3 linked regions of the Caenorhabditis elegans genome follow. The protein of the gene in region 1 purifies or fractionates together with the protein of each later gene. This does not show direct contact. Each region holds a gene or a part of one and is shown in the gene's direction. Other genes may lie near its edges.

Region 1 (6,722 bases):
TCTCGTAAATCGAAAAGTCCTAGTAAATCGACAAACTCTCGTAAATCGACACAAAGTCGTAAATCGACAAACTCTCGTAAATCGACATAATTTCGTAAATCGACACAATGTCGTAAATCGACAAACTCTCGTAAATCGACATACTTTCGTAAATCGACACAATGTCGTAAATCGACCCAAACTCGTAAATCGACAAAATCTCGTAAATCGACAAAATCTCGTAAATCGACACAATATTAAACTTCCAGATAACAACAACACCCGTACCGACATCATCTACGTGAACGGTAGATTCCGTGTGGAAAAACAAAGTTCCCCGCAAGAAGCCCGTGCCACGTCACAAACAGAGTTCTGTATGCCTGACGTCATCTATTACCTGGGACTGTCTACAGTAGTCATTTGCTACCTGATTACCATCTCGACTACGGTAGTTTTCAAGTTTGGCGGTAGATTTTGACAATGTTCAACAAATTTTCAATTTTCAAATTTTCATTACTCCCTTGTATGGGTACTTCTACATGATTCTCAGTTTCCTTGAATATATTTTTTTCTAACTTTTAATAATTATCTGTAAATAAAGCTCTTGTTTTTATCATAATTTCCTGAAAATCGTATAGTTGAACTTTTAAAGTACACTTTGACTCACCGAGCAAATCCAGATGCCATTTTGTCATCTATTTTTCTGACTTTAAAATATCATCAAAATATGTTTGTCTAGTTTTTATACTATAGTTTATTTTGCGTTCTTTCTTTTGAATAACATATTGTTATAACTTTTTAGTGGAAATTTTAACAAAAAAAATTGCTGATTTACAGTTTAGGAGTGCTAAATTAGGTTTGCAAGACTTTGTGAATCTAATTTTAAATGTGTGTATATCTGTGTGGAGCAGAGTTATGAAAAACTGTTTTCACACAAAAATATAGCAAATTTTAAGCTCTACAAGTTGTTAGTTAACAACTTTTTATTATCTTTCCTCTTCGCTGAGGTACACGCGTCTAAGTGTGGTGAGTGCGAGAGCTTAGTGCGGCAGAGCCTTACTTACGACCGTTTATCTCATTGAGGAAAGGTGCTAGCAAATAATTCCAAACTAGTAATCTGTAGAAAATTTTAAGCTCTACAAGTTGTTAGTTGACAACTTTTTGGCAACTTTTTTCCCCGCAGAGATATGAGCGCCAAGCTGTGCAAAGTGCGAAAGGTCAGTGCGGCAGAGCCTTACTTACGACCGTTTATCTCATTGAGGAAAGATGCTAGCAAAAAATTTTTCACTAGTGAATTGTGGCAAATATGAAGCTCTACAAATTGCTAGTTAACAAATTTTTTGTAACTTTCTCCCTCGCAGAGAAATAAGCGCCAAGCTGTGCTGAGTTTGAAACCGCGCGAAGGGCAGAGCCTCATTTACGGCCGTTTATCTCATTGAGGAAGAGTGTTAGCAAAAAATTTTCCACTAGTGAATTGTAGGAAATTTTGAGCTCTACAAGTACTTCATTGACAACATTTTTGTAACTATTTCTCCCGCTGAGATACGTGCCTAGATATACGACCTGGAAATTGAAGCTGAATCTCGAATCTCTTCCCCTCTGGCAGAAAAAGTCGAATTTCCCTCCTTTTTCCTGCTATTTTGAGAAAAAAAAAATAATTACGCAAATGGCGCGAAACTTTTCTGACACTTTTCTGATCAAAAATTAGAGTTATGCAAAGAAACGAAGGAGCTATGTAGTGACGTCATTCTCGAATTTTAAATTTTTTACCAAACCTTCTAATTCTTGTTTTTCTCTCTATTTTTCCTAGTTTCTTTGTTTCTTGAATGTTCCCAAATAATATCGGCGGATTAATTGATAAGGATATCTATCAATGACATTGCCTCCTCTCTATAGAAATCTGTGTAGAAATAGTAAAAGTGCATTAAAAGATGATAAACGACCATCAGATTTCATCTTTTTCTATCTTTTTCATGGCGGAAATGTTGTTTACTTCTTTCGGCCTTGTTTTCCTGGTGTTTTTCCCTAATTTCGTGGGGTTCAAAAGAGTTCAAACCGGTCAAATGTCGCTTTTTTTGCAAAAAATATTGGTAGTAGCAAGTGCGCTCCATTGTCAATTTAGAGTTTTCACCATTTTTAGAGATGTTTTTTGTGCATTTTTGCAATGTTTTGAACTGAAAATTCAAGTTTTCAATTTATGAAATGTAGAAACTGTATTTTTCCATTGAAAAAAAGCTTTAAATCGACATTTTAACTGATTTTAAACATTTTCCCGGGGTACTGTACCTGCGAATGTGTGCAGCGGTGTTTGCGTACCCGCGCTTTCGTTTTTGATTTTTGAATTTCGTTTTTCACATTTTTCTTCGATTTTTCTCAATATTCCAGCTATTTTTCACGGATTTTTATCATTTTTTCGACAAAAGTAAGTAATTTTCTCTTTTTTTCCACTAAAATTCCCACAAAAATCGTAAAAATAGGGAGATTCAGGCGGGTTTTTTGATTTTTCACCGATTTTTTGCTATTTTCTTCATTTCTCAGCCGATTTTAGTCTTTTTTTTTGTCTAAATTATCAAATTTAACCTTAAAAATCTGCTAAACCATCTGATTCTTCGCTCACAGAACGATTTTCCCGTCATTTTCCAGTTTTTCCCAATTTCCGCCCGTAAAATTCCATTTATCCAATTCAAATTACGCCGAATTTGTTGCAATAGTCTTGGCACGGTGCCAATTGGATCTTTTCACGTCATTTTTGACCATTTTCAAGGTCTTTTCAATGCACTTTTAGGCTGCCTTTGTGAAAAAATAACGGATATTCGAAGTTTTTCGTGAAAAAAAGTGGAAAATCTAGGAAAAAATCGAGAAAAATAAGGTTTTTAAAAGATTTCAACAGACAAAACCACAAAATTTGCTCAAAAAAGCAATTAAAAATTGAAAAAATTACTTGAAAATATCGATTTTAAGCGATTTTGTTTTAAAAATACACACAATTTTTAGCGAAATCACACAAAAAATCGAGAAAATCCCAAAAATTTCGTTAAAAACCAACAAAATTAATGTGAAAATTGGTTTTTTCGCTTTAAAATTGATAAAAATTGATAAAAATTTATTTAAAAAATCACACTTCGGTCAATCTCTGGGCCATTTGCAGCAATTTAGCAATAAAAATAACGAATTTTCTGATGTTTTAGGCAGAATTTTGGAGATTTTTAGGGAAAATCTCAAAAAATAACCAAAAATCGCTTTAAAATTGATGAAAATTCCCATTTTCGCCAATTTCTGAACCATTTTTCCGCAATTTTGACCAGTAAATTGCAAAAAATATCGAAAAATTTTGGATTTTATAATCCAAAATTCTAAAATTTCAAGTAAAATTCAGCAAAATTTGGTGAAAAAAAATACAAAAAATTACAAAAAATTGGCTCAAAAATCAAATTTTTGCGAAAAAAATCGAATTTTAGCCCAATTTTCTTCGATTTCTTCCAAATTTTCACTCATTTTTCGCTTTTTTTCGCTCTTTCAATCAGAAATACCCCCTTAAAAATAAATATTTTCCAAAAAGTACACCGACAAACGATGAGCAAACAATCTGTGCCACGTGGGAATTGGTTTTTTTGTGTTTATTTTACAAAAAATGTCAATTTTTTGCTCAATTTTTCAATTAAAAATCGTAATAATTTGCTATTTTATAGTTTAAATTATTGATTTTTAGGTTTTTTTGGCGGGAAAAAAATAAATTTGAAAAAAAAAACGGCGGCGGATGGGGTACAACAACAACAACTCAAAGATCAAAAAACGAAACGCGAAAACATTTGAATTGACCCTTCGTTCTTTTTTCTATGTTTTTTTGCCATTAAAATTGAGTTTTTCGACGTTAAAATGCCGAAAATTCGATAAAAAACTGAAAAAATTGAGTTTTTTCCGGAATTTTAACCCCAAAAACCGAAAAAAAAATCCCGGAAAATCCCCCAGATTTCACTAAAATCTCCAGTTTTACCAACTTTTTTTTGTTAATTTAGGTACATTTTGTGGCCAAAATCAAAAAAAAAATGGTAAATAAACTACCAAAATGTGAAAAATTGGATATTAATTAAATATAAATTGAATTCTGGACAAAATTGAAATTTTCAATTGATTGAACCATTTTTCTATGTTTTTTTGCCATTAAAAATGAGTTTTTGGCGGTAAAATTCCGAAAATATAATTAAAAAATTAAAAAAATTATGTTTTCCCGGAAATTTAACCCCAAAAACCGAAAAAATTCTGGGAAAACTCCAGAAAAATGGGCAAAAATGTAGATTTTTTGGGCCATTTTTTGGCCATTTTTTCGCTTTAGATTTTAATTTTTTATCTGAAAAAAATTGGATTTTTATTCCCCAAATCTAATAATTTCCACAATTTTTTGACACCAAATCCTCTATAAAAATCGTTTTTTTTCATGAAATCTATTCAAAATCTGGCAAAAATTTTGATTTTTTCGACCAAAAACACCTCTAAAATGACCAAAAATCAACGATTTCATGAAAAATGACAAAGATTAGGTCATGTGATGCATTTTTTTTCGTTGTTTTATTACATGATATGGAATTGACAGTGTTCAGAATTTTTTTATTGGTCAAAATTTGGTTTTTCTTTGAAAAAATCGCAATTTATTCTGAATTTTTTGTCAGTTTTTGAACGCCGATTTTTGGCAAATTGCCGATTTTCTGGAAATTTTCAATTCCGGCAAATTGCCGATTTGCTGGAAATTTTCAATTCCGGCAATTTGCCGATTTGCCGGAAATTTTCAATTCCGGCAATTTTGCCGGATATCAATTCGCCGGATTTTTTGAGGGGATTTTTTAAATTACGCAAACCCACAATTTACCGAAACTTTCGGCAGTTGCCGTTTTTCCGGCAAATCGACTAGTTGCCGGTTTGCAGAATTTGCCAAAAATTTGGAAAACCGCAAATTGCCGACTTTGCTGTTTGCCGGAAATTTTCAGTTTCGGGAAATTGCCAGTTTGCCGGAAATTTCAATTCCGACAATTTGCCGATTTTCTGGAAATTTTCAATTCCGGCAATTTGCCGATTTTCTGGAAATTTTTAATTCCGGCAAATTGCCGATTTGCCAGAAATTTTCAATTCCGGCAAATTGCCGATTTGCTGGAAATTTTCAATTCCCGCAATTTGCCGATTTGCCGGAAATTTTCAATTTCTGCAATTTGCCGATTTTCTGGAAATTTTCAATTCCGGCAATTTTCCGATTTGCCGAAAATTTAAAATTTTTCAATTTGGGCAAATGCCAAATTTTCCGAAAATTTGAAAAATGGCAAATTGCCGATTTTGCCGGAAATTTCAATTCCAGCAAATTGCCGACTTTGCCAGAAATCTTTCTACCAACTCCGGCAAATACTGCCTAATCTGAAAATTTTTTAAAAAACTATCGAAAAGTGCCCAGTTTCAAAAATTCCTGAAAATTTGAAAATTCTAAGAAATTTGAGAGAAACATTTTTTTTTTCCAAAAATTCGAATTTCCCGCGCGCTCGCGAAACCTAACACCATTCTTTTTTTTTTCCTATTTTTGTTCAATCTATCAGATTCTCGTTGTTTACGTTGAGAAACATGTTCATCACATCACATCACACACACACACACACATTTCGTATTCCTCTCAGTTGGTTTTTTTCCCGCCTCGTCCTCCTCCTCTTCGTCTCAGCTGACCTCCATTTCGGTGTCCTTTGGTGCATCTCGGTGTCAGTTTCCAGTTGAAATACGCTGTGTCTCTACTCTCTCTCTCTCTCTCTCTCTCTCTCTCTCTCTCTCTCTCGGTTTTCTGCACGTGTGGTCTCTCTTGGTGTAGAGGCACCGGGCACCATCATTTTGCACTTTTTCTGTAGATTTTTTGGCTCAAAAATGGCACTGAAAATCATGAAGAATTGAGGAAAAGCTCAAAGTAAAATGAGAATTTTTAGCCTTTAAATGGGCGGAGCTTATGTAAGCGCCACCCACTTCTGGGCTCTCGTTATTTCTCGGCAATGTTCATGATCTCAACCAGGCGGCATATTCGGCAAACCCACATGTTTGAAATTTGCCGTGCTCGGCAAACTCGGTAAATTTGCCAATTTAAGAATAGCGGAGGCTGCAAAATGCATCATAGCTCATGTAGTGTCCTCATTTCGGTTTGATCTACGTAGATCTACAAAAAATGCAGGAGAAGAGGCGCAGAGTTCTCAACTGATTTCGCATGATTTCGCAAAAAGATAAATTCAATGCCCCTCTTTTTATTCGTAAATTGTCAAAATTCGAAATGCGATTTAAAATTTCCGGGAATTTTAGGGCATATTCTTATTAGAAATAACTATTACGGGAACAAAAAATTCCTAGAATGCGTATTACACAACATATTTGACGCGCAAGATATCTCGATGCGAAAACTACAGTAATTCTTTGGAAGATTACAGTAATGCTTGTGTCGATTTACCGGGCTCTCGATTTTGAAATAAATTAAAAAGAGCCCGTAAATTGACATAAGCACTACAGTAGTATTTTAAAGAGTTACTGTAGTTTTCGCGCTACGATATATTTTGCGCGTCAAATATATTGTGCAATACGCATTCTAAAAATTTATGGGGCTATTCAAGTAGTGCTGGATAATTTGAAATTGCTGAAAAATTAATGTATTAAAATACATAAAACATGTATTTTAATACATTTTGCAACTTTACCACGTGGTGCCAGAGTGTCTCATTTCGGCTTGATCTGCT
Region 2 (8,759 bases), on another chromosome or scaffold:
ATTAATTTGATATTAAGTGTTACCAAAAATGCATGACCAGCTTTGCAAAATGTTAAAAAAAAAGGACCCGTGAAATGTCGGCCGCGCTACGATATCTTCAAGAATTATTTCAAATTAACAAGCTGTCCAAATTAATGACTAAAAAATTATAGCAACCGACATCTCACAGGTTGTTAGAGAAAGGTTACATGGTGCATCGACCGGAAATATCTGACTCAACTTTGACTACTTATATCTCTGCTGGTTTTGGTTTTTTTTTGAAAAAGTGTCAATTGACAAAATATTTATCGTTTTTTCTACTACAACTTTGCATTTTAACACTTTTTGATAGCAGCAGACTTAGGCTTAGGCTTGACTTAGGCTTAGGCTCAGGCTCATGCTTAGTTTTAGGCTAAGGCTTAGTTTTAGGCTTAGGCTTAGGCCTACTCTTAGGCCTAGTTTTAGGCCCAAAGGATAACCTCCCGGAAATACCGAAAAATCCAAAAAAAAAGTTCTAACCAACCTCTTCAGTCTCCTCAACTTCCACTTCCTGGGGTTTTAAAAATTGCGAAAAAACAATTAAATCCCAAAATTGTTTATTCACATTTTTCACAACAAATGCGCCTTTCTGATTACACTGAGGACATTTTTTATCTCTAATTTTCTCACGACAACTGTCACATAACGTATGACCGCATGTGCCGATGCAAGGGATTCGGATGGCGTTGTCTGTAAAAACATCCATTTTTGGAGCGTGTCCTATATTTTGTAAGTAGAGATTTTTGAAAACTGACAGGATTGTCGCATGTTTCGACCCCTACAATTTTTCAATACAAATAATTAAAACAAAATTGAAGTATAAAAAATGTAGGAAAACAAATTTTTTTTTTGGTCGACTTCCAAAATTATGAGTGGCAAAAACTGAGTGGTTGTCACTTTTTGACAGTAAATAAAAAAGTTTCTAAAAACTTTTGAAAAGTTTTATTATGATATTCGGTACTTTTCGGATTAAAGGAGTGGATCTTAACAATCTTCCCACTGGCGCTACTTCACCTCTAATGATTTAAAAATGAGTTTTTTGTAAAATTTGAAAAATCATTAAAATAATTTTTTTAAAACATAATTTTCAGTAATTACACCCAACTCTCTAAATTTCCAAAAAAAATGAAAACTTTCAGAAAAATTTCCAACAATATTCACCATATTCCTCATAGCAAATTCCACACTCTGCAACTTTACTCATTAAAAAAAAAACAACTAAATGTATTTATTGAAGAGAATTTCAAAAAGTCAAATTCATCATTTATATATTATATACTAATGTAAGGTGAGAAATTGTCTAAGGAACCATAGGAATGTTTCCTTCCTCATCGCAATTTCTCATTTCATGAGTTTACTACTTTCCTGCAAAAAGATAACATGTATCTTAGGAACTAATTTTTATTTCAATTTATTTATTCGAATCGCAGAAATTTCCGGCAATTTTGGCTATTGCCGATATTACAGAAACTAAATTTGCAAAAGTTATCAGTTATCGGTAATTCTAAGCCTAAGCTTAAACCTAAAACTAAGCCTAAGCTTAAGCCTAATCCTGAGCCTAAGCCTAAACCTAGTAAATAATTTTACCTCTAGTTTCACTATGTATCATTTCAATTCAATAACATGCAAAAAAGTAAATGGACAAACTCCACTAAATTCAGAAAACCTTTGCTTCTGGTAAATACTCTTTAGGCAGCAGGTGATTTTAATTGTCTATAGGTGTTATAACTCCACAATAAATTCTTTTAACAAGTTATTATATATTTTTATTTCCAGCTCCCACTATGAATGTTGACTTTAAAGACCCTGTATGGCTAATCAATAGTTACAATTTTGTTGGTATTTTTTCTATATCAATAAATACGGCGACTATTTTTTTTGATTATTTTCAAAAGCGAGAAGATGGAGAGTATGAAGTATCATATTCTGGCGTTTCAGGTGATCTCCTTTAAATGTGGAGTATCGAAATCTGGAAAATATTTTTAATTGACTCCAAATTTTCCGCTGATTCCGAATCTCGATGTGAAAAAAATCAAAAATTCAAAAAAATCTGATAGATTTGGATTCTAGATTTTTTAAAAATATTATAGATGAGTTTTTGGGACAGGAAAGTAAATTTAAGCCGCGCTAGAGAGGTTTTTGTGTCGAGTTCCAATTTTCACAGGTATATGTAGGCGCAAAAAAACAAAAATAAAAATTATGGAATTCCGGAAGAATTGAAGTAAATTTAAGCCGCGCTAGAGAGGTTTTTGTGTCGAGTTCCAATTTTCACAGGTATATGTAGGCGCAAAAAAACAAAAATAAAAATTATGGAATTCCGGAAGAATTGAAGTAAATTTAAGCCGCGCTAGAGAGGTTTTTGTGTCGAGTTCCAATTTTCACAGGTATATGTAGGCGCAAAAAAACAAAAATAAAAATTATGGAATTCCAGAAGAATTGAACTCATCCCACCCCTCCCACTCCCACTCCCCAGTCGAAGCAGTTACCGACTGATCCAGGGAGGATGAGGGAAGCCTAGCTCCTCGGTGTGTGTGACTTTTCCGACCTAGATTTACAAATTAAAATCAAAACGGTTCACGGAAAAAAGTAATGACTGTTGAAAAACTGCTTATTTTATTGCATTTGTTCAATTTATTAAATTTTCCAATTTCCCGGTTGCCAAAAAATCAATAAAATTCAATTTTCAGAAAACCAATAAAATTATATTTCTCATCAAAATTCAAATTTCTATGACGTCGCCAGAATTAAATTTCTAGGTCACCGGTGACGTCTTCAGGCATAGTTTAAGTTTTCTAGGCCACCAGTGGCGTCATTTATTTCCCCAGGTATAATTTGAAACTTCTAGGCCACCGGTCACATCATTAATTTGTCTTCCACGGTCAAAATATTTCTCTTCCAGAACTAAAATAAGATTTCTAGTCCACCAATGACGTCATATCTTCTCCAAAAAAGCTATCAAGGTTTCCTAGACCATTAGTGACGTAATAAGTAGGCAATGATATTTCTAGGCCACGGCCCCCCCCCCCCCCCTCTGATCAAAAAACAAAGTTATGAGTCAACTTAACTTATTAGAATGCTGACTCACCCAGTCAACACCAATCTAATCTTTCCCTGTCTCCTCCCTACCACTGCCTGCGCCTCTCCGTCTCGCGCGCTCTCTCTCCCACTCCGCTCACCGCCTGCGTCTCCGTTTCTCTCCCGGTCATTCCTCATTCACTCAATCTTGCAAAATTTCGGTTGTAACGAATTTCGAGTTAGATTTTTTCTAAAAATAATCAAAAATTCCGTCGAAAAATCAACTTGCGGCGATGCTCAACGTGGAGCCCTCATTTGCAGAGGAGCTGCGGAGCAGCGGGGTTTCTCTGTCGGCTACTGTGAGTTTTTTATTAGTTTTTTCCCCGAAAATATAAAATTGTCTTTCAGTACCTCGGAAGTGTTCCAGTAGTCGAGTCAATTAACGTGATGGTTTCCGAGATGAGAGTTCAAGTTGTTTCGTTAGTTTTTCTTATGGCTTAAAATCAAAAAAAAATCTTATTCAAAAATTTAGAAATCAGGCGGTAGGCAGGCATGAAGGCAGGTAACATCTGCAAGCTCAAATATATAAAAAATCTACGTAATAAAGTAACTGTTCAATTTTCAGAGAATGTATACAACACGTTGCAGCTACTGTTGGCGTGACTGCGGCTCGAGAAATCAATCCAGTTGTTAGTAGGGTGAGTTTTTTTTTGTGAATTAAAAAAACAAAAGAAAATAAAATAAAAAACTTGCCATTTTCTGGGCATGGCTAATGGTAAAAATTTACAAAACATTTTCTCATTAATTTGATATTAAGTGTTACCAAAAATGCATGACCAGCTTTGCAAAATGTTTAAAAAAAAGGACCCGTGAAATGTCGGCCGCGCTACGATATCATCAAGAATTATTTCAAATTAACAAGCTGTCCAAATTAATGACTAAAAAATTATAGCAACCGACATCTCACAGGTTATTAGAGAAAGGTTACATGGTGCATCGACTGGAAATATCTGACTCAACTTTGACTACTTATATCTCTGCTGGTTTTGGTTTTTTTTTGAAAAAGTGTCAATTGACAAAATATTTATCGTTTTTTCTACTACAACTTTGCATTTTAACACTTTTTGATAGCAGCGAAATAAACTGAGATAATTACATGGTGCATCGACATGCTCAAATTTTGATAGCTTATATATCCAGTAAAATTCAGCCAAAAGCCTGCCACTATAGAATGTACTAAAGCAACCGACATCTTACAGGTCGATCAAAAATCGCGCTAAATGATGTCAGCCGCTATTCATAGAAAAGTTATTATCACTAATTTCGACTAAAATTATTGCAGCCGACACTTCACGGGTCGATGAAAAAGCCCAGGTAAACCATCCTTATTTTCAGGTAATCGGTGAAGTGAAAAAAGAAAACTTCCCCGTAGACATCAACATTTCCTCGAAAATGATCAAAATCATAAAACAAAGTCGTCTAATTCAACGTCATCCCTTCTCATTCTTCTCATTCGGAGCCCAAGGCCAAAAGGGTACGGACACGGAGCTAATGTTCGGCTACATTGCAAAAAACAAGGATGGAACGGATCGTCGATGCCACGTGGTGTTCATCGAGGATGTGCACAAGCTCATCGACGTCCTTACCACTGCGATCAATGTGAACACTTTTGATGCACAGGCGAATGCTTCAACTTCTAACGATGGATTTACGGTGCCGGCGCCGCCGATGAGACATCGAAGTTCCCTGCATCGACAGTCATTTGTGTCGAATTGCCGAGCACCTACTGTAACTGAGGATGTTGTGGGGAAAGTTTGGTATCATGGAAATTTATCCAGAGAGGATGCACAGGCTTTGTTGAAGACGGAAGGCGATTTTTTGGTTCGGTAAGGTTTTTTAGATTTTTTATAGAAAAAAGCTAGAATTTTGCTGAATTTCTAAAACGTTTGGCTTCATGCTCACTAGGTTCACACCAGGGGCGCGTGGGAATCGGAAATTTTCGGCAATTGCCAAAATTCCAACTGAATGCCGACATTTTCGGCAATTTTCAAACCTAATTATAATTCGAAAATTGAAAAAAAAGTTAACTGTGTTTTCAGTATTCGATTAGTCATTTTTAAAAGCAAACGGTCAATACTTAAAAAATTAAAAAATGTTTAGGCTCCTAAATCTACAAAAAAATATCAAATCTATATTTTCGGCAATTCGGGCAAAATTTGATTTTCGAAGAAAAAGGCTAATGTTTTAATAATTGGCAATTTTTTGGTAAAACCTGAGATAAGTAAAATATGAGCTATGATAGCTGATCAATGCATCATGTCTTCCATGTAACTTTTTCCAATCATATCTCGGTTTATATCGCTGCTAGCAAAAAGTGTTCATCTGCAAAGTTGTAGAAGAAAAAAGGATAAATATTTTGTCAATTAACAATTTTTCAATAAAACCACAACCAGCCGAGATATAACCTGCCAAAGTTTTGTGAGATATTTCTTGTCGATGCACCATGTTTCTCATGTAACTTTTTCCAATCATATCTCAGTTTATATCGCTGCTAGCAAAAAGTGTTGAACTGCAAAGTTGTAGTAGAAAAAAGGATAAACATTTTGTTAATTAACAATTTTTTAATAAAACCACAACCAGCCGAGATATAACCTGCCAAAGTTTTGTGAGATATTTCTTGTCGATGCACCATGTTTCTCATGTAACTTTTTCCGCTAATATCTCGGTTAATATCGCTGCTAGCAAAAAGTGTTCAACTGCAAACTTTTAGTAGAAAAAGTGATAAATATTTCGTCAATTGAAATTTTTTAAATAAAACCAAAACCAGCCGAGATATAAACTGCCAAAGTTGCGTGAGCCGGTCAATGCACCTTTCTTTAACAACCTGCGAGATGTCGGTCGCTATAATTTTTTACTAATAGTAAATCGGATAGCTTTTTAATATAAGCCTATTTTAACAGACTTCGTAGAAAAATCTGAAAGTCTAAAAAAATCAAATTTGACTGAAAAAATAGTATGAAAAATCCTTTTTTTATATATTTCTGACTTAAAGCTTCAGTCACATTTCATATCTGTAATTTGTTTGATAATATGTTCAGAAGCCACGGGACTTTAAATAATTCTTGAAAGACCAGGGAAAAATTTGGTATAATAAGTTCATCCTCCCAAAATTTTTTTAGATTTTTGTTTTAGGCTGAAATTTTTGTTCAAAAAAAATTCTGCGTTTTTTTTCCTGAAATACAAAAGATGCAAGGTTTGCATGATGCTAAGATTGTCTGAAGCAGCGGACACCTCACAGTCCCCCTTCTCTAAAAAAAGACCCGCAAGCTGTCGGCCGCTCAAACTTGTCCAGTTCCTTGCAGACAAAGCGACCACACGCCCGGCAAGTACGTGCTGAGTGGCCGAACCGCTGAAAACGAGCACAAACATCTCATCCTACTGGACAATCACAACGTAAGACCCTCCCCCCCCCCCCCCGCCAAACCTTCAAACCTCTCAAAATTCCAGAGAGTCCGAACCCGCGATCGCACGTTCAGCAACATCTCCGAGCTCATCGACTATCATGTGAACAATGGGATGGCCGTAAGATCAGAGGGTCGGGATCGCGAGACGTCGTTGAATCTGATCCGACCTGTGCCGTGCCCCGGAAGTGATGATATCGAATAGAGTCGGAATTTGTTTCCTATTTTTTTTTCGATTTCTAGCAGAAATTGAAAGTCGAGTAGCAAATTGCGTAAGACTTTTTCCTCTTCTCGTCGCCCCCCCCCCCTCTTTCATATAATTAGGTAGTTGTCCTTCTACCGTAACATGTCATTACTATCCTCTTTCTTTCCTTCTTTTTTTTGCGATTCTCCTCCTCGGCCACGCTCCAATTATACCCCCCACCCACCTGTATTCTTACGCCACCACCCCAACCAGCGCACACATCTTTTTGTATTCATTTTTCCATATATATTTGTATTATTACTACTATTACCCTCACTACTGTTATCGATTTTTCCCTCCACAAATTTATGATTCTGCACTGGATCATTTGGTCGGTGGTTGTGGTGCTGCCACCGCTGATTCGATCGGTGGCCATTGTGGACACTTCTATTGCGTGTGATAAGGTAGGGATGGCCTAGAAAAGTCACCTAGTCCAACACTCCCACCCCGTATCTATGTTTCTGCCATCTTGTGATATTTGCTCCATACCATATACCCTGCCCATTTCTGTCCTACTTTCATATCCTGAAAAAATGAAGTATTTGAGAATCGAGTTTTGAAAATATTAGTGGTGGCCTAGAAATTTTAGGCTTGGGTTTAGGCTTAGGCTTAGGCTTAGGCTTAGGTTCAAGCTTAGGCGTAGGCTTAGGATTGGGCTTAATCATGGGTTTAGGCTTAGGCTTAGGCTTTGGCTTAAGCCGAGACTTAGGTTTGGCGTCAGTGGCGAGCGTTAGCTTGCTACTGACGCTATTTAGGCTTAGGATTTTCCGGTTTTTTTTAGGCTTAGGCTTAGGCTTGAGCTTAGGCTTAGGCTTAGGCTTTGGTTTGGGCTTAGGCGTAGGCTTAGGCTGAACCTTAGGCTTAAGCTTAGACATTGGATTAGGCTCAGGCTTAGGCTTTTTGGAAGATGTGTGGAGCCAATAAAAAGTTGCATGGAAAAAATATGACGTCACAAATGACCTAAAATGTTTCATTGTTTTTGGCAAAAACACAATAGTTTAGAAATTTGGCTGCAAGAAGTTCCTCGGCCTAGAAACTCTCTTAAACTCTCGAAAAAGCGAATTTGAAGGGCATTTAATGGAAGATTAAAAACCCAGGCCAAAACCTTGAAGGTCACCACCCAAAAGGAAAAAAACGTCTTCAATATTGCAGACAGATTTCCTATTGAAAATCAAGTTTGACGAAAACTTCCGTGGCACGATACAAAGTCGCGCGGGCCATCCAAAGTGTATCTATGCAAATGGCACGCTTCAATCGGACACCAAATATCAGTTGAAGGTTTGCCTATTGAATGTATTGAATTTTTGGGCATTATTTGCTTAGATTCCGCTGACTGGCTGCTCGACCAAGGAGAACGGAGAAGGCAATTTGGAGAATGAGATCGAAGTTGTCATGGCTAACAATGAGTGGGTTTTTTTTTGCCATGTGGTACTAGGTTTTTTGCCGCTATGCTCACAAGGAAAGTATTTCCGCTCAGTTTTAAAGGTGGAGTAGCGCCAGTGGGGAAATTATGAAAAACCATTCATTTGGTCCCAAAGTGACCGAATATCATAATAAAACTTTTTTTTTTTGTAAATGTTTTATTTACTGTCAAAAAGTGGCAATTACTCAGGTAGTTTTGGATCATAATAAGTGTATTTAGACAAAATCCCCCACTGGCGCTACTCAAAATTTAAACTTGAAAATTAAATTTTTGAATTTTGAAAAAAGAGCTTTCAAATAGGTACCTACAAAAAATTCAGCGACATACGAGCACTTTAAACTAGAAAAATCTCGCTCTGAAGTTGCTGCCAGTGAATTTTTACTACCAAATTTGGAGGCTAGTTTAGAGATTTTTGAAAAATTTCATGATTTTTAGGCTATTTCAATATATACAAGTATTCTGAAAGCAGTTTGGAAATTTTCTGATTTCTCCTAATTTCTAATTTTTCTAATTTCTCAAATTTCTCCTAAAATCTGCAACTTTTTTCACCCAACAATTTTCATCGATCAGGATATTTTTTGGAATTTTTTTTTCAAAA
Region 3 (7,138 bases), on another chromosome or scaffold:
TTTTCTTCCTGTTTTTGCAGTTCAATTCGAGAAATTCTTCAATGTTCATTCAACCGAATCGTCTCTCAAATTTAGCGACATTTGGTGGGCCAGACTCTAACCTTATTATCACCCATCTTCTCGCTTATTTCCCTCAAACCCTATAATTTGCGTGTGGAGACATCTGACTAACTACTTTGTACTTCTCCAGTCCTTTGAGTCTTGAATACACTTTTCAAATCAACTGCCAATTCATATGCAATCAGTGTACTTTTTGTATTTGGCTCATTCAGTCAGCCCACTCTTTTTTTTATTTTGTTCCTTTTTTCACGTAACCATGGAAATATGCTCGTAATCCGATCTCACGAGGATTTCATTTTTCACATTTTTTGGCATTTTATTTTCCTTCTCGAATATTTTATTATCCCCCAAATTCCGGTCTCGACTTCCGGAAACATTTTGAATTTATTTTGTAAATCACTTGATTATCAATATCTTTACCTCACATTCTCATTTTTCAACAGAATTTTTTAAAAACCTATATTTTTCTCCAGAACTCCTCGCCACTTCGTTTTGCATCAATACCCTCTTGATGCTTCTCAAAAACCAGTCGGATCATTGTCATCTGTTTTTGACACTTCGCACTTTTTCTATTCCAATGGCTATTAATTTTCTACCCACACACCCACCACAACCATAATCCGATAATCGAATTACTAAAAAACTGCTCGTAAAAACTAACGAGAGCACGGCGCTCCCGTGTCTTCTGGCCATCGTCCGTTAAACGGATACATTTATGACTTCCTTCGCTTTCGTCTTTTTCTTCGTTTTTTTTTCTTTTTTCTTGAAATCTTATCCATTCTGGCCAAATTCTTCAAATACATATAAACCTCTTTTTCCACATGATCAGGTAATACACTGGAACCGTGTTTTGGCTATTGGCTGTGTCAGATGATGAATTATGAATAAGGAATTATATTTATTGTGTGCCCCTCTCTTTCCATAGCCTTCCCAGTATTCTCTTGTTCCTCCCAAAATATCGGATGTCAACCTGTTTTCGTTTTCGAATTCGAGGAACTGTTTAATATTACTACCGGATATGTATTTGCGAACAATGCAAAAATCCCAAAAGTTCATTCCATGATAACAACAATTTACAAAAAAAAGTCTGAAGCAGCTGTAAATTGAAAATATTGAAGATTGATCTATTTTCGGATACTTTAAATAATGTAGTAAGAATGAATTAAATTATCTTAGAAACTCCTTTTTCGTATACCGTACTTCCTCTGAATCGACTAAAAATATAACTTTTGTTTAAACCTAATAGCAGGAATGCGAATTTCATAGAATTTTTGGGTTCTTTCCAAGAATGTCTTGCTAAAAAAAACCAAAAATCCACATACAAGTTTATTGGATATTTTCAAAATTTCTTATTTTTTAATCCAAGAATTCATGTTTTTTGTTGCTTGGTAAAATAAATGTATCGCATATCCATACGAACTAGTGCTGATCATCTTTGTTGTTAAATTCTAACTTGTTACACCAATTTCTTTACACCAATTCTGGGACTGTTTCAATCAATCAATATTCCATTTGACATGATTGACCTCGTTGACTCATAATCATGATCATCATCCTTTTATCTTGTAAGCATTTGACTTATTCGTCGTACTCCGTCCCCTTCGCGGCGGCGTCCTTCCTCTTCCGTTTGCCTCGTCTTTCGAATGCTCCACCTCTATTGACACATGCATGCTTGTCTTCACAACTCTCAACTTCTTCTTCTTCTTGTTCCCCTTCTTGCCTCCCTTTTTCAACCCTTGATTTTTGCATGTTCGGTTCTTCCCTTTTTCTACCTAATTTTCAATTCAAACCACACATGTTATGCTTGAAGAAAGAAGAATAAGAAGAACTTCTGTCTCTTCGCATTCTTTTGCTTATTCTCAGATTTCTTTTGGCGTTTTTTTTCTTCGTGCCTCACTTCACTCTGCCGACTGAGCTCCCCACATGAAACCATGACAACCAGCTCAATGTTTTCTCTGGTTTCTCATTTTCTTAACTTCCCCCAGCACTCAATATTTCATTTTCTGATAATCGGATGTGAAGAGGAGATTAGATGGTATGAGTAGGAGGAGCAGATGCTGACTCTCGTGCTCTACTTTCTCAGCTTCAACAAGGCTCACATTCCGTTCCAGCCACTTTTTCTCGTTTCTAGAATCTTTTTCTAGAATTCAATCATATTTTCATTGAAAAAACAGCTATTTATCTACGTCAGATTTTGTTCGTTTGCCTTTCTTCCTCCTTTTCTTTTTTATTCTACTTTTTCCAGTTTCTTAGATTTCAACCCTCGTTTTGTTTCAAACTCCAAATCCCAAAACATTTTAAAACTAAATCCTGGATCTTTGAAGTTTTAAATCAAAATAATGATGCCTCTTCAACGAATTCTCATATTCAATATTGCCATTTATTTATAGTCGGTGTTGAGTAGACGCACGAATAAGAATGAGAAGACCCGCTGCTCAAGAAAAAGCTCAAGAAAGCAGCCGAAAACAAACCTTTCCTTGACACCTAATTGAAAAATTCCCCGCATTTTCTTTTTTCTCGCTCGTGCCATCCACCATTTCATTTCGAAATGTTAGTGCTCCTGACGGCTTACCGGAAAACTATGGCGTGACCAGTGCCAGGAGCTGCAGAGCTGAAACGATTTTCACAAAAAAGAAAAAAGTCGGAAAAATGACGTGTGAGGGTGGAAAATGATTGAGGCATGAAGTAGTGGTGGACAGGGAGAGAGATAGAAAAAATGTGGTTCCGTCTTTTGAACACATTGTTTTGTATATCATCACAATTTCTTTCAATAAAAAATCTAAATCTAAATCAAAAAAATATTTTTTTAATCCAGAGAAATACGAAATCCGTAGAATTTTGATCGGTGGGTTAATCTCCACTCAATTATCTTATTGAAAATTCCGGTATTTAAAATCTACAGATACCCAAAAGCCTAGAGTTTTATCATTCCACTAAGACTGTTAGTCTGTTTTTTTCCAAACACATCCACATTTACTTCCTCCATTCACTCAACACATTTTCTCATTTTTCTGCCCTTTTTGTTATTTCCTTATTCCTTCAATTATTTTCTTCTCACCTTCTCTGCTCGCAGACCTCTACTCACGCACACAAAACCAATCATTTTTCAGACGCAAATTCCAACCAGGCTCTCTTACTCAAACCCACATATGCGAACTGCGTACTTTATTTTTGTCGGCGCCCTTCTAGGCGTCTCCTACGCCAAACATCACCATGCTGCTCGAGGTAACACTTACAGATTATTGGCCGTTAGTTCTTAAATTCCAATCTATTTTCAGCGCCAATAATCAATCTGCAAGGAGCCGAAGAGCTTGTGGCTGTCGTGCGAGAAGATGAGAACATTATCTCGACCGTGCCGGATTTTGCAATCCTCTCTGAAACCGGTGAGTTGGGAGATTAAAATAAATTGTTTTCAGCTCTTACGATTAAAAATCATGATTCATATAGATATGTTTATAATCAAGCCGGCTTGTTAGATCACAAGAAACTTTAATTAAATTTTATAGTTTTCCTTTTTCCTAATTGAAGGTGTGAAAACTAACAAACCTAATTAGAGAAATACAAAAATTCAGCTACTTCCTTTAAATAATCATGCTCATTAGTATTCATGGCATTTACATTCTCAATCTTCTTCTTTTCCCTCGTGTTTCCTTCCTGACATGCCCACCTCATTTGCACAAAAATCTCATCGAAAAAGCAATGCAGCCTCTCATTAATTGTTTCGTTTTCTTTTTTCATGTTTCTTCTTCTTTTCACGCATTTTCTCTGTTTTCTCTTTGATGATGAAGCATCGTTGTCGTTGTCAGCCTGGCTCCATACACACACACACAGGATTACGAGCCACCGACGACGACGACGACGATGTAGAACACGAAGGGATTGACGTGGAAAAGAAAGAGAAAAGAAGAGGGATTAACTATGACATGACATGACAGCCGATGATTCGAGAGAGCATGAATTGAAAAAGACGGGTGATGGAATGAAAGACAAGCTAGAAAAATTGGAATATCTATCCACAATTTGAAATTGAAACAAAAATAAAGCGAATACAATTTGAGGGAATTTTCAGGGCCAGTATGCAACTACCTCCTTACATCACAGAACAATGAGCCAGTGCCATTCGACATCCAGGTTGTTGATAAGTACACTGGAGCAGCTGTACTTCGAGTTAAGGTGAGACATGATGTCATAATGTATTTTTGGAGAATAGGCATCTAATGAAAATTCCAGTATTCATATTTTAATTCGTGTGTATCAGATAATTAGTGGAAAACCGTTTTGTAAGCTTAAAAATCAATGTGTTCTTAGAAGGAATTTTCATTAAACTTTATTCAATATTTCTAAAGAAAATTAATTCTTGATGAGTCACCATTAAAGTTCAAACATTTATTATTCAGGATGCTGCCACACTAGACTGCAAGAAGCCAGAATACAATCTTCAAGTTCAAGCTGTGAAATGCGATAACGACAATGTGAAGAGTGAAGGAGTGTCTCTGAAGATCCGTGTCAAGGACACCAACAATCATGCTCCAGAAATCGAAAACCCTTGGTACACATTCCACGTGGAAGAGGGAAAAGTTGTTGAGGAAGTTGGAGTACTGAAGGCATCTGACAAAGACTGTGGACATCCAAACGGAGAAATCTGTGAATATGAGATCACAAATGGACTTAAGGAACTTCCGTTCGCCATTAACAATCATGGAGTCCTTCGTACAACTCAGCCACTCAACTTTACTCAATCAAAATCATACATTCTCACTGTAGTCGCTATTGACTGCGCAATGAGGAAAAGCAAAAGTTCTCTGGTCACTGTTCACGTTGATGAGAAATGTGTTCAAGGAATCACTGCAATGAATGAGCGTGTCAACTATGCTCCAGGAGTTGGATCAAAGCTTCTCCTCCCAGACGTATCTCTTGAATTCTGTGAAAAGGAAACAATTTGTGAACCAAAGAGTGTGCAGTCAGTCATTGAACTTCGTGCTGGACACGTTACTCAAGGTTGTGCAAGAGACACTGTCTATGATAATCAGACAATTCAATCTTGTGGACTTTCAACTGCTACTGTCAAATTGCTGAACGAAGAAGCCCTTACCAGCTCGGCTGAGAATCAGATTCTTGCTGATCAAGGAATTGAGTTTGATGGAGCCAGAGGAGTGACTGTCTCTGATGAAAATCATCAAGGACTCATTCCGGATCACTTCACATTGAGCTTCTCCATGAAACATGCTGCAGGAACTAAGGACGAGCAAAGTAACAAGCAGAACATTCTTTGCGAAAGTGATGATTTCAGTGAGTTATCTCTTTTAGAAACAACCAGTGAATATGTGTTTTCAGACATGAACCGTCATCACTTCTCTGTCTACATTCGTCACTGCAAATTGGAGGTTGTTCTCCGCCGTGAAGCTGGAGCCACTTCAGACTTCCGTGCTGCTGAATGGCGTTGGTCAATGCCAGAAGTATGCGATAATGAGTGGCATTCATATTCACTTCTCTTCAATGGCATCGATGATGTTAATGTTATCGTCGATGGAAAGAGCTTTAAGGCTGACGAACGAAATCCTGAAATCCTCGACGATTGGCCGCTTCACAAGACCAAGGCAACAAAGACCAAACTTGTTGTAGGAGCGTGCTGGCACGGACGGCAACAGAAACTTGCACAGTTCTTCCGTGGACAACTTTCCTCTCTTTATCTTCTCTCTGGAGCTGTTGAAAGTGAACGTGCAATAAAATGCGCTCATACTTGCCCAGAACAACTTCAGTTCACCGGAGTTGATGAGCTTCTTGAAAGCCAAAGTGCAACATTCTCTCCAGATCAAACCTCTCTTACATTGAAGGCTGAAACATCAAAGCAAATTGGTCAAATGCTCAAGAGAGTTGCCTATGTTAACACTCAAGAGAAACCAGCTCCAGGACACCGTGTTTTCCTTGTTGAGACTGAGGTTACTTGCAAACAAGATGACAAGAAGATGAAGCTACCATCCAGCAAAGGATACGTTTTTGTTCAACAAGCCGCTGAACCAACTCTTTCAATCTCTGCTTCGTCTCAACTCAAAAGTAATCAACACATGGTTAAGGTTGGACAAGCTATGGTTCCAGATCTCACCATAACCATCAGCCAAAACAATGCTGGTAAGTTTTAAATGCAAATAATAAGAAACATTTCGGAATTTCATTTTCAGACGGAGAACTCGAAGATGTCACCCAATCCCACAAGATTGATTACTGTAAGATGCATTTGCAACCAGCACGTGATATGGATGTAGAGTACTTCTCATCACCGGCTTCACTCATTGCAGCTCTTAACATTGAGTTTGAGCATGACAAAGACGTAAGTCCCAGACAGATTCAAATCTGATTTCAATCTTCTAATTTCCTGCTCTTCAGGGCATCCTTCTTCGCGGAGAGGAAAGCGCTCAAGGGTACAAGGAAGTGCTCTCGAAGGTTCATTATTTCAACACTCGACCAGAATCATACGCCAAACGTGTCTACACCGTCCAGTGTGCCATGCTCAAGGGCCGAGTACTCAGCAATCAGTTGTTTGTCACGGTTAGTTTTTATGGATCTTCAAGTTTTTTCTATCTCACATTATGTCTTACGGCGTTGAAAGTTTGGAGCTCAACTATTCTAAGTCTATCAATTTCTAGTTTCATTGCTCAAGATCCTATAAAAACTTAAGGGCTCAAGAAACCGAGAATCTCTTCTCACATTCCACTGTAATTACTCATTCATTCATTCTCAGAAGAAATCTTTTTCACATTATGTACAAAATCCATTTATGTCCTTGCTCTTCTCAGCAGCATATAATGATTTGAGAGAGCGCCCCGTCTGTTTTCATCGCCTCAAAATGGGTTTTAGAGTGAGATGGATAGAAGGAAAATTTGTGTCTTCCATTTAGAAATTGCCATCATTTGTGCAATACGCACTTGGATCGTCCTTTTTTCATGTCTATAGTTTAGAATATTTGTTGATATCTAAATAGTTGTTTCCGAGTTCCTTTTGTATTCTGATTCTTAAAAACGGAGTAGCGTGATTGAGAATATTGCTTTAAATTGACAAAATAAACTCTAAATTCAGAAAT

Evidence for each region.
Region 2: the proteins of daf-2 (region 1) and shc-1 purify together in Caenorhabditis elegans (affinity purification with western blotting, with the first as the bait; one study listed by BioGRID). This does not show direct contact.
Region 3: the proteins of daf-2 (region 1) and casy-1 purify together in Caenorhabditis elegans (co-purification; one study listed by BioGRID). This does not show direct contact.

The regions. Positions count from the first base shown.
Region 1 is NC_003281.10:3,036,461-3,043,182, reverse strand, and holds the start of daf-2 (Insulin-like receptor subunit beta), read left to right. Parts: upstream 1-2,336; 5' UTR 2,337-2,401; intron 2,402-5,639; exon of another isoform or gene 5,640-6,722. Other genes in the region: cutl-25 (ZP domain-containing protein), read left to right, coding at 249-457. UniProt on the Caenorhabditis elegans protein: Insulin receptor-like tyrosine kinase which regulates metabolism, controls longevity and prevents developmental arrest at the dauer stage.
Region 2 is NC_003279.8:967,620-976,378, reverse strand, and holds shc-1 (SHC-transforming protein homolog 1), read left to right. Parts: upstream 1-3,245; 5' UTR 3,246-3,326; coding exon 3,327-3,392; intron 3,393-3,441; coding exon 3,442-3,512; exon of another isoform or gene 3,513-3,658; coding exon 3,659-3,731; intron 3,732-4,292; exon of another isoform or gene 4,293-4,428; coding exon 4,429-4,919; intron 4,920-6,395; coding exon 6,396-6,486; intron 6,487-6,540; coding exon 6,541-6,699; 3' UTR 6,700-7,046; coding exon of another isoform or gene 7,047-7,142; 3' UTR 7,143-7,291; downstream 7,292-8,759. Other genes in the region: cutl-20 (ZP domain-containing protein), read left to right, coding at 7,047-7,142, 7,891-8,016, 8,062-8,144. UniProt on the Caenorhabditis elegans protein: Scaffold protein which plays an important role in the activation of the JNK pathway composed of mlk-1, mek-1 and kgb-1; by bringing together mek-1 and mlk-1, promotes mlk-1-mediated phosphorylation and activation of mek-1 which in turn phosphorylates kgb-1.
Region 3 is NC_003280.10:5,952,716-5,959,853, reverse strand, and holds the start of casy-1 (Secreted calsyntenin-1), read left to right. Parts: upstream 1-3,170; 5' UTR 3,171-3,209; coding exon 3,210-3,285; intron 3,286-3,338; coding exon 3,339-3,443; intron 3,444-4,129; coding exon 4,130-4,233; intron 4,234-4,457; coding exon 4,458-5,349; intron 5,350-5,394; coding exon 5,395-6,189; intron 6,190-6,239; coding exon 6,240-6,388; intron 6,389-6,444; coding exon 6,445-6,606; intron 6,607-7,138. UniProt on the Caenorhabditis elegans protein: Cell adhesion molecule involved in associative learning and memory.